Linked DNA regions of Saccharomyces cerevisiae S288C. Changing the gene in region 1 together with any one later gene gives a genetic interaction. Each region holds a gene or a part of one and is shown on either strand. Other genes may lie near its edges. The genes, in order: HXT17 and YDC1.

Region 1 (9,147 bases):
GAAACAGTTTATGATAAAGGGCCAATTGCCGCTATTAAGGAAATTTTAGACCAAGTGTGATTTTAAAGGTGATCTGATCTACGCGCCCTCGATAGTAATGACTAAATATCTTGGGTAGAGTATATATAATGTCGTATTTTTGTATATTGTTTTATTTAGACAAATAGTAACGTGTTATGTTCCTTCAAGCGCATCTTTCATGATTTTCAATCGATAGTCAAATGGATCCATTTAGAGTTTCTCATCACCATCACCATATCATGTCACTCCACCCCGCTTTACGTAAAAAAAAAAAAAAAAAATTGAATAAATGACTAAGAATTAGACACAATTTTGTCTTAATGAATACTTTTTACCTATGACACATACCAGTTTCTACATATGTTGATCTTCATAGCTCCAAGAATCTTCATAAATTCGTGACAAATTAGAATTACACATTATTATGTAAAATATAATATACAATGTTGCCTATCAAGACAAGCATATGCACTCTATGATCAATCAGAACCCTTTGAGAACTTCAAAAATTTCTTCCAATCCTTCTTCTCGGTCTTACTTTCTTCGGAAGGAATACCTCTCCTAGAAGGTGGGACCCAAGATGCAGATTTCCATGGTTTTATACCTTCTTCATATAGTAATTGGATTTCCTCCAAAGATAGACCAATCGTTTCTGGTAAAAAGAAGAAAACGTACAGAAACATTGCAACCAAACAACCTACGAACACATAACCATAATAGAAGTGGATAGACCCAGTAATGAATGGTGTGAAAAACCCGATCAAAAATTGCCACAACCAGTTGCATGCAGTCGAAATCGACATGGCCCTAGATTTGACCTTCGAAGGGAACGACTCGGCAACCACAATATAAGCAACAGGAGCCCATGTCGTTGCAAAGCAAAATATATAGAAGCAAGTGAACACAATCATGGCATTACCTGCACCTTTTGAGGATGGACCATCCTGGCCATGAGGGTAAAGACATTTCACCCCGATACTTGCAAATATGACCATACAAGCCATCATCCCAGCTGCACCAAATAAAAGACATTTACGACGGCCAATTTTGTCTACGACCATAACAGCAATAATAGTGGAAAAGAAGTTCACTGTACCTAGAACGATCGACGTCTCAAACCCATCAGTAAGACCGACTGATTTGAAAATGGTAGTTCCGTAGAAGAAAAAGTAGTTTTCACCAGTAAGTTGCAAAAAGGTTTGCACAAGAATACCTGTGATCAAACGTTGAAGGACTTTAGTTTTGACGGAGAAAAGTTCTTTCCATGAAGCTTCTCCTAGTTCTCTTTGGGCAAGGACACCGGCGTTGATTTCATCAGCCTGTTTGAGTACCCATGGATCCTCTGGTGAAACCTTGTTGATTTTGGCAATGGAAGCACGGGCCTCTTCGTGTCTCTCACATTCAATAAGATATCTTGGGGACTCTGGAACCAATAACATACCAATGATGATAATCAAAGTCCATAAAAAGCAAAGCCCAAGTGGGACTCTCCATTGTGCAGTGTTATCGTATTTTCTCGTACCATAAACGCTACAATAACCCAAGAAAATACCGAAGGTCATGTTAAGTTGGTACAATGAGACAAGTCCACCTCTCAAATCTGTAGGAGCTATTTCAGACAAAAGCATTGGACACAACACCGAACAGCCACCAGCACCAAGACCATAGATAATCTTACCAACGAAGTATTGGTACCATTTGTGATTCGAACTGATCTGAATAATTGCACCAACCATATATACCAACACCACGATTACAATTGCCAGCCTTCTACCTAAAGTATCAGCAAGACGGGCAAAAATAAGACCACCTATGGCACATCCAATACTGAACATAGCCACAAGAAGACCCATACGCACGTTGCTCAAATAATATTCACCAGTGCTATGCTTGTAAGAACCGAAGTTCATTTTAAAGTTGTCCATGTTAATGAAACCTGCTGTGATACCACTATCCCAACCAGGCAGGAAACCCCCGAAGGATATTGGATAACACAATAAGTAAATGACAAGATAACCTATGAGCCCTCTTTTTGGTGGCTCAACGTTATCCCCGTTTATGACTTCGTTGTCATCAAATCCATCTGACCACTCTTTTTCCACGGGTGGTGCGACGTGAATATCAGCATCAGGACCATCCTGAATATCTCTATCACTTTCAGTGGATGATTGCATTTTATTAATTTTTCTTTTCTTTTCTTTTTTTTTTTTTTTTTTTTGATTTATCAAATGAGAAAGAATTTACACAACACTTGCACAACGAAAGAAAAATATCACACCTAAACTTATCGCTTTATATATCTCGTTCACCATATTATCCTGTGATTAAGGAGGGTGTTATGGCAGCAATGCTATCCTACCACTTGAACGATAAAATTCTGTGCCAAGGAGGTTTCACCGTTCGTATACACTTATCTCAATTGATACTGCTTGCCGCCTTCTTTTGAATAGATTCCGTGCTATTTTGCCTGTTTTTAGACGAGGATACTAATATTATATTATCTAATATTATCCTCGAACGTTTACGTCATCATTTGGGATACTATTCCACATTCTAGGTTGCTAACGGTCTTTGCACAGTCAAGTCATCCCACGCATTTGTGCCTATGTGCCTATATGTGCATTATTCTTAATACCCCGCCACTCTATGCACAAAAATGCATACCCCACCTCCACCTTCCTATTTTGTGCATTGACTATTTACTCCGAAACGAACCCTTGAAGTTAAAATAATTAAACTTTTTGGCTGCAAACCAGTGACGTCAGATATATTTTATAATAACCCCAGGGAGGCAAAAGCTTCTTTCTCGGCAAGGAATGAAGATGTGAAAAATTCGTCAAATAATAGCCGGGCTGGTTACAGCAAGGGGCGGACTTAAGAAATAAGAACGGAGATATAGAAAAAAACTCTAACGAAACATAATCACGCAATCCCATTGGAATAGTTTAGGATTCTTGAAAAAGAAAAGCCCCCCACAGTACGTCGTATTTCATTTACATCTGCAATACCCCCACTATAATTACTTCTGACAACATTTAGAATAAAGGTGTTGAAATTTTTTCTTTTCTTGTTTATTACGTTGCCACTGAATAGCCTACGAACCACAAGGAAGTGAACAGGAGCCTTTGGCAGCTTAGCTCATTGAGTGGTATGATGAAATAAACTTCCTACCCCGTGTTATTAAGATCAGTTAAAATATTGTGGGGGTGTCGTAATATGTAATAGACATGTGATACATTTTTATGTACACTCTATACTTTCAGCATATAAATACAGAGATAAGTTGAAGTTTGATAGCTCAATTGATCAGTTTGTATGATAAGCAGTGAAAAAAAAAATCAAAACAGATAACAAACAGCGAAATGTCAAATAGTAACGGTGATAATAAGTATGGTGTCATTACAATTGGTGATGAGAAAAAGTTCCAAGCTACCATTGCGCCACTTGGTGCAACTTTGGTAGACCTGAAGGTAAACGGCCAATCAGTCGTTCAAGGTTATTCAAACGTACAAGACTATTTAACAGATGGTAACATGATGGGCGCTACAGTTGGTCGTTATGCCAACCGTATCGCCAAGGGTGTTTTCAGCCTGGATGATGGTCCTCACAAGTTAACTGTTAACAATTGTGGTAACACAAATCACAGCAGTATCAGTTCCTTAAATCTTAAGCAGTACAAGGCGTCCCCTGTTGAGAATCCTTCCAAGGGCGTTTACGTTGTTGAATTTAAATTGTTGGATGATCACACACAGCCCAACCCTAACGAGTTTCCAGGTGACTTGGAAGTCACAGTGAAGTACACTTTGAATGTTGCAGAAATGACTTTAGACATGGAATACCAAGCACAGTTAGTTCGTGGTGATGCTACTCCAATTAATATGACCAACCACTCGTATTTTAACTTGAACAAAGTCAAGAGTGAGAAGTCCATTCGTGGTACAGAAGTTAAGGTCTGCTCGAACAAATCGCTTGAAGTTACAGAGGGGGCATTGCTTCCAACTGGTAAGATCATTGAAAGGAACATTGCTACTTTTGATTCAACTAAGCCCACCGTTTTGCATGAAGATACTCCGGTCTTTGATTGCACTTTCATTATTGACGCTAACAAGGATTTGAAGACTACAGATTCTGTGAGTGTCAACAAATTGGTTCCTGTTTTTAAGGCCTATCATCCCGAATCTCACATCAAATTTGAGGTTTCGACGACAGAACCAACCGTTCATTTGTACACCGGTGATAATTTATGTGGCAAATTTGTGCCAAGGTCTGGATTTGCCGTTCAGCAAGGTAGATACGTTGATGCTATCAACCGTGATGAGTGGAGAGGTTGTGTTCTTCTGAAGCGCGGCGAGGTATACACTTCAAAGACTCAGTACAAATTCGATATTTAGGTGAGGCTGAAGCTTTTTACGTTTGTTACGTTTCTTCACTTGCTTGTAGATAAAACCTTTATAATGATATATGATCTAGATTAAACTCAACGTTTGTACGTTTAAACCTAAAAGTTTTTGGACCTGTCCCAAAATAAATATTATCACAAGTGGTAGTACTAAATTGAGCGTAACAGGCGGACTCTGTAGGCTTTTTGTGAGTTTGGGGTCTGAATATTTTTTACTCTTAAAAAAGAATACAGAACTTACTAAAAAAAATCCGTACTAAAAAGGTAGAAACAAGAAATGGTTTATTTGAAAAAAATACTTTACGTCCCAGCCTCACTAAAATTGAGCAGGAAACCGTATATCAAAACTATCTACCAAGAGAGTTCTGGTAAAAACATTTATATGAATAAAGATTAAATTATGCCTATTTTTTTCCTAGCAGTACATTCACTATGTTTCTATATTTAACGCTTTGTCGTTATCCCGGATAAAATTCTTCAGGTTATTTGCAGACGTTTGTCACATTATTTTTTCATTGACAAAATTTCACGAACTCTAGTAATGTTCAAATTCAAATGTCATGCAAGGCCCCTATGAACATTATTACGCTGTTTAACCAGCGGATAATAATTAGATCGCGTTCGTCGTAAATATAAAACATACGCTCTGTAAGTAGGTCCCTCTGAACGTTGGCAATTTGACAGTGAACTAATGAGTCGTATTCATAAAGAAACATCAACTGTGTACCAAAATACTTATTTGGGATTATGTGTTTATAGCCTTGATTACCAATGTTTGCATAAATAGAAGTTACCCTATTTCTTTGAATAATATAACATTACATTTCTGCAATATTCACATCATCATATAACCCAAAATTCACAGTATCGTGTGCTAAATCGGTTAAAAAACCGCCTCACCTGCACCCATAGTATACCTGCAATTTTTTTCTTCATTTTCTCTTAAATTTACTTGTTATTCTTTTTACGAAGCCAATTTTCATAGGGGAAAAATGCTTAACTTGAACAACGTAATAAACCACAATCATACCGGCAATGTTGAAAAGGATATAAGCCTAAATGAAACCGAAGTTTCTCCATAAGTAACTAAAGCTAGCATTTATGCGCGCCAAGTATTCATCACCTACTTTGTACTGACAATAGGCGCAATCTGCTGTTGCATCTGGATTTGCAATATACCCAGTCCCAAATTCAAAAAACGGTTTGGTAAATTCACCACATGTTTGGCCTACCGGGGGGTTGAAAAGAGACAACTCTTTCTTTGAACATCTTACGGGTTTGTCATGCATCAATAATCCAACTAAATTTTGCAAAAAATACGTGTAAGGGGATAGTTTCCACATGAATGTCCAGAAACCAGGCATTAAAGAGGCAGGTTGGACAGCACCGCAGAAAGAGAGCAAAAACGAAAGTATAAAACCTACAATAACATTGGCAGATTGTAGATTTGGAGACATGTACAGAATCATTAAAGCAAGACCAATATAGTAAAGTTGAAAAAGTATGGCATAGTTCAGATAAAAAACACTTGACCTAGAGGCTTCGGTAAAGACACCCAGAGGGAAATATGATGAAACGAAAAAAATTGTTGAAAACAATAAATGGTAAGGCAATTCATTTAAATAATGGGTAATCAAAAGTAAAGACCAATGAAACATATTAGATTTGGACTCACGAACTTCATATAGCTCCTTAGCAACGGTAGCACGCTCCTGTATTTGGTTTGTTGCAGGAGCTGATATAACGATAGCCATGAAACAGGCAAATAAGCTATTTTGTAATCCAATAGCATTTACACCCACATGGAAAAAGGTAAAACCAATGAACAAGCCACTGATCATCAATAACATCATTTTGGCCATGATGTAGTTCAAGTTTCTCCAAAATGTTAAACTGGATCTTTTCAGCACATGATGGAATTGGTAGGAATACGATGTTGCATACTTAGAGGCCCTTGTAGCTGTTTTATGCAAAGTTGTAGAAGATAAGTCCTTAATCATGTCATTTATTTTTTCGTTAATGTTTGCATACTCGTGAGATTTTTGCCATATATCAGGCCAGTTCTGTTGAACAGAAGCGGTGGCCCCAGCTCCTATGGCTTCTAAAATATACTCTGCCGGATTTTCATTTTGTTGACATTTCCTGGCTCCGTTCTTTTCGAAATACTTAATGACAGAACTTGAATTTTTACCTATTTCACCAAAATAAATTGTTTGACCGCCTTTTCCCAAAAGCAATAATCTGTCAAACTGTTCAAAAAGAGTAGCTGATGGTTGATGAATAGTACATAAAATTGATTGACCTGCTAGAGCTAATCTTTTTAACATTTTGACGACGGCCCACGCGGATTGGGAATCCAAGCCAGAGGTCGGTTCGTCCAAAAACAATAACAGATCCGGCTTGCCAACTAGCTCAACGCCAATTGATAGTTTCTTTCTCTGTTCAACATTCAAGCCGTAACCAATTTCGCCGACAAGAGCTTCTGAGAACTCCTGCATTTCAAGAATAGATATAATTTTTTCAACATATTCCATCTTTTCAGCGTCAGGAATAGACTGTGGCCGACGCATACGAGCACTAAATTGTAGCGATTCTTTGACAGTAAGTTCAGCAACATGAAGATCTTGCTGTTGAACATAACCGGTACGCCTTTTGAAACTAGCGTCCATTGGGAGACCATCAACTAACATATCACCAGTAATCGTTCCCACGTTCCTTTGAGCCAAAGTGTTTAATAATGTGGTCTTACCAGCGCCGGACTCACCTATTAATGCTGTCAAAGTACCAGGAACACAGTAACCGCTTACGCTGTCCAGAAGTTTACGTTGTCCGCTAGAATGAGGAATTGTGAAAGAAACATTTTTCCAAATAAACACCCCGGTAGATTCCAAACCTTCAAAGTCTGCACTTGTGCTATCGTCGTTACTTGAAGCTATCTCTTTCATATCCTGTGTTGCTATAGAGGCATTAAGGTTCTCTTCGTCATTTTTGCTGCTCCATGATCTTTGTATAGCATTCTTTGTGCCCTTCTTGACGACCAGAGCATCACCACCACTTTTGACAGGACTTTTGTACTCAGTGAAAACCGCCCTCAAGACGATGTAGCCAATTAAGAAACACCACATGATGCCGAAGTTTCTCCAAGTATTTTTGTACTCATATTGATATTGGGCCCTCAAATAATCATCACCTAGGACCCAAGATTGGCCAGGCCTTGAACCAACAAAAGCACACACTTGATTTTCTGGCAAGATGTTTTCAAACCCAGGTCCAGAAGGAACCAAAGTGCCACCACAATCCATATGTCTTCCATGAAATTCTGCATTTAACATCGATTCAAATGCATATCTAATGGGTAGAATGTACGAAATCCACTTAAACCATGGATGCATTGAAGGTAATTGTATCATGTACGTCGAATACATGGCAATAGATAACATCACAACACCGGCAATGGAGTTGGCCTGGGACAATGTATCGCATAAAGATGAAACCATCTGAAACAAACTTGTAATAGCTTCTGAACACATTGTCAATAACAAATACATAGTAAAAAAAGCACCGGCGCTTCTATGCAAACCGGCTAAGAAGTACAGGATGATTATGAAAAATGTTAGACCAATCATTCTGAATGGAAAAGAAGAAATCGTACTTGCTAACGCTTCAGCTGAGGGATGATATAGTGAATAGACCTTGTGTTTTTGCAATATTGGCCTGTGCTCGAAACTAATATTAGCTAAACCCATCAAAGAATAATATAAGAGGGAAAAAAACAGAACGCCACTTCTAGAAAAGGCCCCTAGAGTTGAAGAAGGTGCTTGGTAGAACAATGACCCAGTGATAAAAGCCTGTGCTATAGCAGCGCATGTGTTGATAACGGTGTATGACTTATCACCGTAAATCCTTAGAAAACCTCTAATAGTGCAAAGTCTAATTTGCTCCCAATAAGAGACCGTATAATAAGATTTTTTTCTTGTACCTTTCGACTTTTCTTGTGCCATAGACTCATTGTATGTTTTTTTGGTCCATTCAGTATTCACTTCATGTTTGTACTTCTGAATTTCACCTTTTAGGCGGGCATATTCTGGGGAATCAAGCCAGTATTTTTCGAATTCATCAGCGGTATGAGGTACTTGATACTCAAAGCCAGGCTTTATTTCGTGCAGACCATTAGGATCAGTAATTGCGGTCAAATATTCAGCAGTCGATTGTCTCGGTGGACACAAGTAACCCATGTTTTCAAAATAATCTTTTGCTTCAGTAGTTTTGCCGCAAAATATTTGTCTTCCAGCGTATAGAACAGTGACTTTATCAAAAGTTTCATAAATGTTTTCACTGGCTTGGTAAACCGTAACAAGGGCCGTTGTACCTAACAGATTTGTCATAGTACGAATAGCTCGTGCAAATTCTAGCGCGGTAGAAGAGTCAAGACCTCTTGTAGCATTATCCCAGCAGTAAATTGAACCTTTCGCTGCTAATGCTTCAGCAATGGAAACGCGTTTACGCTCACCTCCAGATACACCGCTGATGAAATCGTTACCAACTTTGGTATCGAAAGTATGCGTCAAACCAAAAATTTTAGCATAGAATTCTCTATTGGCAGTAATATACTCTTCTTTCGTTACATTATTGACTCTTTTTGCGGGCATCTTACAGGAAATAGCAAAATCTAGAGTTTGTTTTACTGTCAAATGTGGGAAATGAACATCTTGCTCACCATTATAGAT
Region 2 (8,582 bases), on another chromosome or scaffold:
GGAAGAAGCGGAAAGAATCGCCAAGGAAGAGCATGGTTCAGAGAAAATTTCTGTTATTTCTGGTGTTGGTGTAAGAAATTACTATGGTAAACTAGGATATGAACTAGACGGTCCATACATGTCGAAAAGAATTTAAAGGTAAATAGAACTTTTATGTGCCGCCGACATGGCCGGTTTTCCAAGCAGAAATTTAAATATATTTAAGTAAATAATTGTTTATACTATTCATTTATTAATTCCTTTTATGATGGGAGTAACTGCTGCATGTGTTTTCAGAAGAAAGATATTTTACGCCACATAAACATAAATTTTAGAATAGTCAGGCATAATAAAAAAAGGTGAACAGAAGGGAAGGAACGAAGTGTAAGCTCTTTAGTTTGTCACATATCTATATACAAATATACACGTTCGGTCAATTGCACGTACAACAATTTATATACATACATAACATATACGTACATATATTTTGAAGATTCAAATGGATGGCACAAAATCACTCCTTAGTTATTCTTTTTTGTTTCATCATCTACCTGTGTATTTACAATTGGCCCCAGATACTCCAGTGAATAAGAAGTACCAATCGGTAAGCCCTTTCTTACCAGCTCAGGGAAAAATCCCCACCTCCATATAAATAAGAAGTCATTTGGATTTCCATGGGTTAATATTCTCAAATATTGCAAATACACGACGAAGATATAGACACCAGTACCGGTCAAAAGATGCCACCAAGCATGCAGTTCCAATAGAACACCTAATGGCAGGGCCAAATATGTTCTCCGGATATAGATCCAAAAAGAACACAGGTGAATATCTAGTTGCCAGCAAATGAACCCAATGACAAAAGGAATCATGCCCATAACCATAGTAATAAAAAGATTTTTCTTTGCAAATGAATCATGAACGTGATAGTAGGTCAGCCAGCCAGAAAGAACCACAACTAGAAGCGTCAATATACCATAAAGGACTTGGAAAATTGCTGGCTTTTGGACGACAACGTAAATCCAGGTTAAAATGGTGACTATACCACACATGATAAAAGAAATGACCATTTGGATTCTAAATGAGCTTTCCTTCCTTTTCTTCTCATCCTTAATCAAGATTTCTTGAGTTTCTGCAAAAATACTCCACGATGGGATGATGGTCGCATACAGCATTGGTAGTTCGTCTAGCAATTGATAACGATACTGTAAAGTCATATGAAATAACCACGAACCAATACCAACCAGCGAGAACCCCATTCCTATCAATATATACCTTGTTTCTAACTTATTACGCCAAGCGCTATATGTAGAATAGAAGGCGGTCATTAAGAATATACTATTGGTAATAGTATTTGACCATTCTGCAATATAGGGGGATACGACATAATTCTCCTCGCACCAATCAATCAGAGAAGTTGGCTTGCCCCAATAACCTTCAATCGGGGCTTCTGGATAAGGCCAGCTGAACAGCATTTGATTTTTTTCTTTATCTTACTTTCTTAAAAATTCACTAGGTTCTATGATATATCCTTTTGCTTAAATTCTTGAATTGAAAAACGAAGAACAATGCAGATAAACCAGATAGTTATTTCCTTTTTTTTTTTCACTATTAGCAAATATTCAAAGATTGAAGCATGCAATAGAAAGAAAGCAAGCGAAGTAAAATAAGAAAGGCACACCTGTCATTATGGCATTATAAAAAGAAACTGATGGATAAGTTGCTTTCAGGAAATCTGATCCCCTGATTCTGTAGGTTGGCGTACGCTATCGGACATGCTATGCCACTCTCCGGGAACGAGGGATTTAAAAAAGGGACATGAAGTAATATGAGCCGAATGGCTACGATCAGTAAAAATCAGCAGGTGTCATGTTACAGTATATATGATTCTCGTTATTTAGCCTTCTATATATCAGTGGGCCCATGAAAATCTAACTTAACATCTTTGCCTCTGGGGTTTGTAGGGCTCCTCGAGGTACTTTATCTCTTCTTCTGTTAGAGTTACTTGTAGTGCGGCAATCGCTTCGTCTACTCTTGCTGTAGTGTTCAATCCCACAATAGGGTGACATCCTTTATGCAAAACCCATGCAATGGAGAGCATAGCCATCGAGACTTTTTTGTCCTTCGACACCTTTTCCACACGATTTATAATTTCCTTTTGTTCTTCTTCGAGATTATCCAAATGTAACGACTTGAAAGTTGGATCACTCTTAATCCTGTCCGTGCTTTGGTTCAGAGGACGAGTCAACATGCCTCGTGCGTTAGGAGACCATGGAAGTAAACCAATATTGTGTCTTTTGGCAAAAGGAATCAATTCGCGTTCATCTTCACGATAGAGCAAATTGTAGTAAGACTGCGAAGAAATGAACTGAAACCAGCCATATTTATCGGCTGTGAACTGCAGTTCTGCAAATTCAGTTGCCAACATACTCGAAGCCCCAATGTATCTAACGTGGCCCGCTTCAACAACATCATTCAATGCCTTCATGATCTCTTTCATTGGCGTTTCATGATCTAATCTGTGAATTTGTAAAAGGTCTATATATGTGCCCAGTCTTTTCACAGAGTTCTCGACACCAGCAATTATATGCTTTCTGGATAAACCCCGCTGGTTGGACAAGTCCAATTCTTCAAATTCATTTAAAGTGAAGTTATGATGCAAATCAAGCGTTTCATCAACTGGGAAGTAAATTTTGGTCATAATCACCACCGTTTCTCTCTTTATACTGTAGTACTCCAGAAACTCCTTAATTATTCTTTCACTCAAACCATTAGAATAAAAATCTGCTGTGTCAAAAGTACGAAGACCTTTATCGTAACAATGCTTCATAATCTTGAAAATTTGGGTCTTGTCCTCTATGACCCAGTCCGCCCATTTCTTGGACCCGTATGACATACATCCTATCACTATCGGTGATATCTTAAGACCTGAGTTACCGAGTCTTACCTGCTTAACTAAAACCATTTCTGCCGCCTGATGTGGGTCTTCCGTAACAGCCAAATTACATAGTTGGCAAGACAATTAATATATGATACCTTGTTCTCTGGGTCCTAATATATATATATATATATATATATATACGAAAAGGCTGAGAAGAATAAGGCAGATGTTAGCTTAGCTTCTTTTACTCAAGCAATGAAAACAAAATCGAAGGGAAACAAATTCAAACCAAGCGGCCGAGTTATCTCCCGTTCCTAACCTACTACACTAATCACATTTTTCCGTGGAAATAACGTTATTGAAAATGCGTTCTTGCCTGCCATACGTGGGTGAAATACTTCCACGTTCGCAAAAAATACTTCCACGGTGACGAAGTCTGTCTCAGTCGTATATTAAATGCAGAAATCGTCTTATCATTATTGGGCTCTCTTAACGGCGCAGCATCACCGGGTGATGAATGCCAAGCCGCAGAAAGAAAGAAAAAAATTTACTTCAGATTTCTGATAAAAATAAAACGGAAGAGATGAAAGCTAATAATAGAAACAGCTCGATCTTCCTCTGAACAATAATAATTAAAGGACAGACAAAAAGAAACGTAAGAAAGAAGCGAGCCTGTTCTAAAGTGTTCAACGACTGATTCAATTAGAACTGCCTACTCCTGATAGCCAACTCAACTTTTGACTCGTTAAAGTAATTGAAAGCTGGCAAGCAGAATTATTCTTTTTTTTTTTCAAGGTTTCTATCACGTTGTGAGGTTAATATCCCCCGGAGCAAACAGGCTGAAGCGTGAAAAAAACTTAAATATTAAAGTGTCGCAAAACTATACTATAGATACAACATGGGTAGACGGAAGATTGAAATCCAGAGAATTTCTGATGACAGAAATAGGGCTGTCACGTTTATAAAACGTAAAGCTGGCCTTTTTAAGAAGGCCCATGAACTATCCGTTCTTTGTCAAGTAGACATAGCCGTCATTATACTGGGGTCCAATAACACGTTCTATGAGTTTTCCTCTGTGGATACGAATGATTTAATCTATCACTACCAAAATGACAAAAACTTGCTTCACGAAGTGAAAGATCCTTCCGATTATGGAGACTTTCACAAAAGTGCATCCGTTAACATAAATCAAGACCTACTCAGGTCGTCTATGTCAAATAAGCCTTCGAAATCAAATGTTAAAGGAATGAACCAGTCAGAAAATGATGATGATGAGAACAATGATGAGGACGACGATGATCATGGCAATTTTGAGAGGAATTCAAATATGCATTCGAATAAAAAAGCCTCTGATAAAAATATACCGAGTGCACACATGAAGTTGTTATCCCCGACCGCACTCATTTCAAAGATGGATGGTAGTGAGCAAAATAAACGTCATCCTGAGAACGCGCTGCCGCCTTTACAACATTTGAAAAGATTGAAACCGGATCCTTTGCAAATAAGTAGAACTCCGCAACAGCAACAGCAGCAAAATATATCGAGACCATACCATAGTAGCATGTACAATCTTAACCAGCCTTCATCCAGTTCATCTTCTCCTTCCACGATGGATTTTCCAAAATTACCAAGCTTTCAAAACTCTTCCTTTAATGGTCGTCCTCCACCCATTTCCATTTCACCGAACAAGTTCAGTAAGCCATTTACAAATGCATCCTCAAGGACCCCTAAACAGGAGCACAAAATTAACAATAGTGGCAGCAATAATAATGACAACAGCAACTACACTCAGTCACCATCTAATTCTTTGGAAGACTCTATTCAGCAGACTGTCAAAGCAAGAAGGAAATTGTCCGCCAGACCGGTACTTCGTGTGAGAATTCCGAACAACAATTTCAGCAGTAATTCCGCTATTCCAAGTGAACCCTCCTCTGCCTCCTCCACATCGGCCAACGGCAATAGTATGGGCTCTTCGCAGATAATGAAAGAAAACAAAACAAGTAGGTCTAGCAAAATTTCTCCACTATCCGCATCTGCCTCAGGCCCCTTAACTCTCCAAAAAGGTAATAATGGCAGAATGGTAATAAAATTGCCAAATGCAAATGCGCCTAACGGTTCTAACAATGGTAATGGCAGTAACAATAACAATCACCCTTATCCTTTCGGAAGTGGGTCTTCACCTCTTTTTTCTGCAACACAGCCATACATTGCCACTCCCTTGCAACCATCGAATATTCCTGGCGGACCTTTCCAACAAAATACATCTTTTTTAGCTCAAAGACAAACCCAGCAATACCAACAAATGTCTTTCAAAAAACAGAGCCAAACAGTACCATTAACTACAACATTAACCGGACGCCCCCCTTCAACTTTTTCCGGCCCTGAAACCAGCAATGGCCCTCCAACTGGTTCACTGCCATCGAAGTTCGTACATGATTTGATGAGTAATTCTCCAAATGTTTCTTCTATATCGATGTTTCCAGACTGGTCAATGGGACCCAACAGTGCCAAGCCGGGAAACACAAACAATCCTGGTACTTTCCCTCCCGTACAGACGGCCGTAAACAACGGCAACTCCAGCAATATCAGCAGCACTAACAACACTAACAACAACAACAACAATAACAACAACAACAGCAGCAACAACAACAGCAACAACGGCAACGACAATAACAGTAACAATAGCAATAACAGTTACTATAGTAATAATGAAGATGCACCCGTAAATGGAGCTGCTATTTCAGAACATACTACCGATGGTGACTCGAACAATCAGTCCAACTCAAGTACATATGATGCTGCTGCCACCGCATATAATGGAAATACCGGGCTGACTCCATACATAAATACTGCTCAAACACCACTAGGCACTAAATTCTTTAATTTTTCGACTGATATTTCAGGAGAAAAAAATTCAAGCAAAATATAAACCAAAAAATTTGACCAGTATGAATATTCCAAGCATAAGAAACTTCTTTTCATTTAAAAAATTTATATTTATATTATTGTAAATGCACATATTTACGTAGTGAATAACCCAAACAAGGAAGAAAAACGAAAAACTCAATTGCATTTTCTGAATAATGATAGTATTTAAGTACTCTTTTGTGCATTAGCAACTAAAATGAATTGCCGCCTGGCCTGGAGTTTGATGTAAGCAGAAGCCGGAAGAAGACAAGAGGTTCATTCAGAGAAAACATCCGTACATTCGAGTTCTCATTGAACCCATACATTTCAACTATTTTTACATAGTTCGTTTTTCATGTGTAAAATTGTCATCGACGCGCCGGAGCATCGGAAAGTTGGAACGTGCGCGATTGCACCAATCCCACTGGGGCCGTGCATTCTGTAGGCAGGAAGCCACTGGACACTCTGCCCGTTCCCACTTGGAAGATTGGCGTAATTCCACGCTCCTCTATCGATTCTAGCGGGAAAGTTATCTCTCCTGGTAAGCGTTGGAGGAATGCCGCTACCTAGGTAAGTCTACTGGGTGGGAATTCCAGTACCGACGTCTAGGAACATCATGATGCTGCAGTTTCTTTGAAATTTCATATACAGTGTTACCAAGGATAAAGTGGTTAATGCTTATTCGTCATTGAATTTTTATATTTGCTTAAGAGAAGTGACAAAAGAGTGAAGACAGACTATACATCATGAAGGTATGATTTATGATACTATTATTGAGGGGCAACAGAGAACTTTATATGTGGAAAAATGGCATGAAAGTTTGAAAGTGAGAAAGAACTAAACAGAACCAGACGTCGTAAAGATTTTAGAAATTTTTTATGGAAAGAAGCAGGAAGACTACCATATACTAATTGATGCGTTTGTGGCGTTATTTTTAAACAAACAGAGCGGGTTTACATATACTGTTACTACAAACCGTGAAATTGAAGCAGTTCATATACTTGGAGTATAGTCAATAAAAGACAAGCTTTTTCATCTTCCACTTAATAATTTCTCTAGAGTAATAAACTTCACCCTATTCAAACATTAATTTTGCAATAGTATACTAACAAATTTTCTTAATAACCTGTTGAAAATTTAAAATAGTTGAACATTTCTTACCCAGTTAACGGGTCTCAAAAGACCTTCGAAATTGATGATGAACACCGTATTCGTGTTTTCTTCGACAAGAGAATCGGTCAAGAAGTCGATGGTGAAGCCGTTGGTGACGAATTCAAGGGTTACGTCTTCAAGATCTCTGGTGGTAACGACAAACAAGGTTTCCCAATGAAGCAAGGTGTTTTGTTGCCAACTAGAATCAAGTTGTTGTTGACCAAGAACGTTTCTTGTTACAGACCAAGACGTGATGGTGAAAGAAAGAGAAAGTCCGTCAGAGGTGCCATTGTTGGTCCAGATTTGGCTGTCTTGGCTTTGGTCATTGTCAAGAAGGGTGAGCAAGAATTGGAAGGTCTAACTGACACTACTGTTCCAAAGAGATTGGGTCCAAAGAGAGCTAACAACATCAGAAAGTTCTTCGGTTTGTCCAAGGAAGATGACGTTCGTGATTTCGTCATCAGAAGAGAAGTCACCAAGGGTGAAAAGACTTACACCAAGGCTCCAAAGATCCAAAGATTGGTTACTCCTCAAAGATTGCAAAGAAAGAGACACCAAAGAGCTTTGAAGGTCAGAAACGCTCAAGCTCAAAGAGAAGCTGCTGCCGAATACGCTCAATTGTTGGCTAAGAGATTGTCTGAAAGAAAGGCTGAGAAGGCTGAAATCAGAAAGAGAAGAGCTTCTTCTTTGAAGGCTTAAAGTTAGAAAGCAGTAAAAGATAAATTCTTTTGTTCAAAAACTCCTTTCTTATTCTGTATTTTGTGTATTTTTAAGCTTAAAATCAAATAACTTTATTTTTTATATAATTAACAAAAAGAAAAATAATCATATGTATTGTAAACGAGAGTCGGAATGTATCCTCAACTGAATATCCAAGCGAGTCCACAGTAGCTAATAGTCTGAAAAAAAAAGGAACCCTTGTCCTTGAACAGAAATGACAAAATTACTACGTATTTCAGGATGCTATATAAGATTGTTTACAAGAGTACAAAAGTCCAGTATAGCAACAGCAGATTGGACGTCTAGTTTCGTTGCTTCATCTCATAGTAACCAATTCTTCTGCGCTAGTCGGATGAATAGCAACACAATTATCGAAATCAGCCTTAGTGGCACCCATCTTTATAGCAACACCGAACCCTTGCAAGATTTCTGCAGAGGAATCACCAACAATGTGCAGACCGACAACCTTTTCATTTGGTCCCGCACAAACAATTTTATATCTTGTGGGTGATTTCTCACTCAACATAGCATAGTACATGGCGGTAAATTTGGAATTGTAGACCTTTATATTCTCCTTACCGTACTTTTCAATGGCTTCCTTCTCAGAAATACCAATGGAACCGGCTTCAGGATGTGAGAAAATTACGCTGGGGACGTTCTCGTAATCTAGTTTGTCATTACGGAATTTCTCTGGACCAAACAGTCTATTAGACAGCTTTCTGCCCGCTGCAATAGCGACAGGTGTCAATTCAACTTTTCCAACAACGTCACCTAGAGAATAAATGTTTGGAACATTGGTGTTCTGATATTCATCAGCAATTATTTGGTCATGAGAGTTCAGCTTTATACCTACATTTTCTGAACCCATACCTAGATGGGATTTACGTCCAATTGTCCAAATTAATTCGTCAACGTCATCGATGGACTTTGAGTCATTCATATG

The links.
Region 2: mutations in HXT17 (region 1) and YDC1 together harm fitness more than expected from each alone (negative genetic interaction), as found in Saccharomyces cerevisiae (one large-scale study listed by BioGRID).

Annotation. Positions count from the first base shown.
Region 1 is NC_001146.8:765,705-774,851, reverse strand, and holds HXT17 (hexose transporter HXT17), read right to left. Parts: upstream 2,196-9,147; coding exon 501-2,195; downstream 1-500. Other genes in the region: MAN2 (putative mannitol dehydrogenase), read left to right, coding at 1-60; YNR071C (aldose 1-epimerase superfamily protein), read left to right, coding at 3,384-4,412; ATP-binding cassette multidrug transporter PDR18, read right to left, coding at 5,476-9,147. UniProt on the Saccharomyces cerevisiae protein: Probable glucose transporter.
Region 2 is NC_001148.4:376,327-384,908, reverse strand, and holds YDC1 (alkaline dihydroceramidase), read right to left. Parts: upstream 1,455-8,582; coding exon 501-1,454; downstream 1-500. Other genes in the region: Elongator subunit ELP3, read left to right, coding at 1-136; YPL088W (aldo-keto reductase superfamily protein), read right to left, coding at 1,916-2,944; RLM1 (Rlm1p), read left to right, coding at 3,759-5,789; 40S ribosomal protein eS6 RPS6A, read left to right, coding at 6,514-6,519, 6,914-7,618; glutathione-disulfide reductase GLR1, read right to left, coding at 7,956-8,582.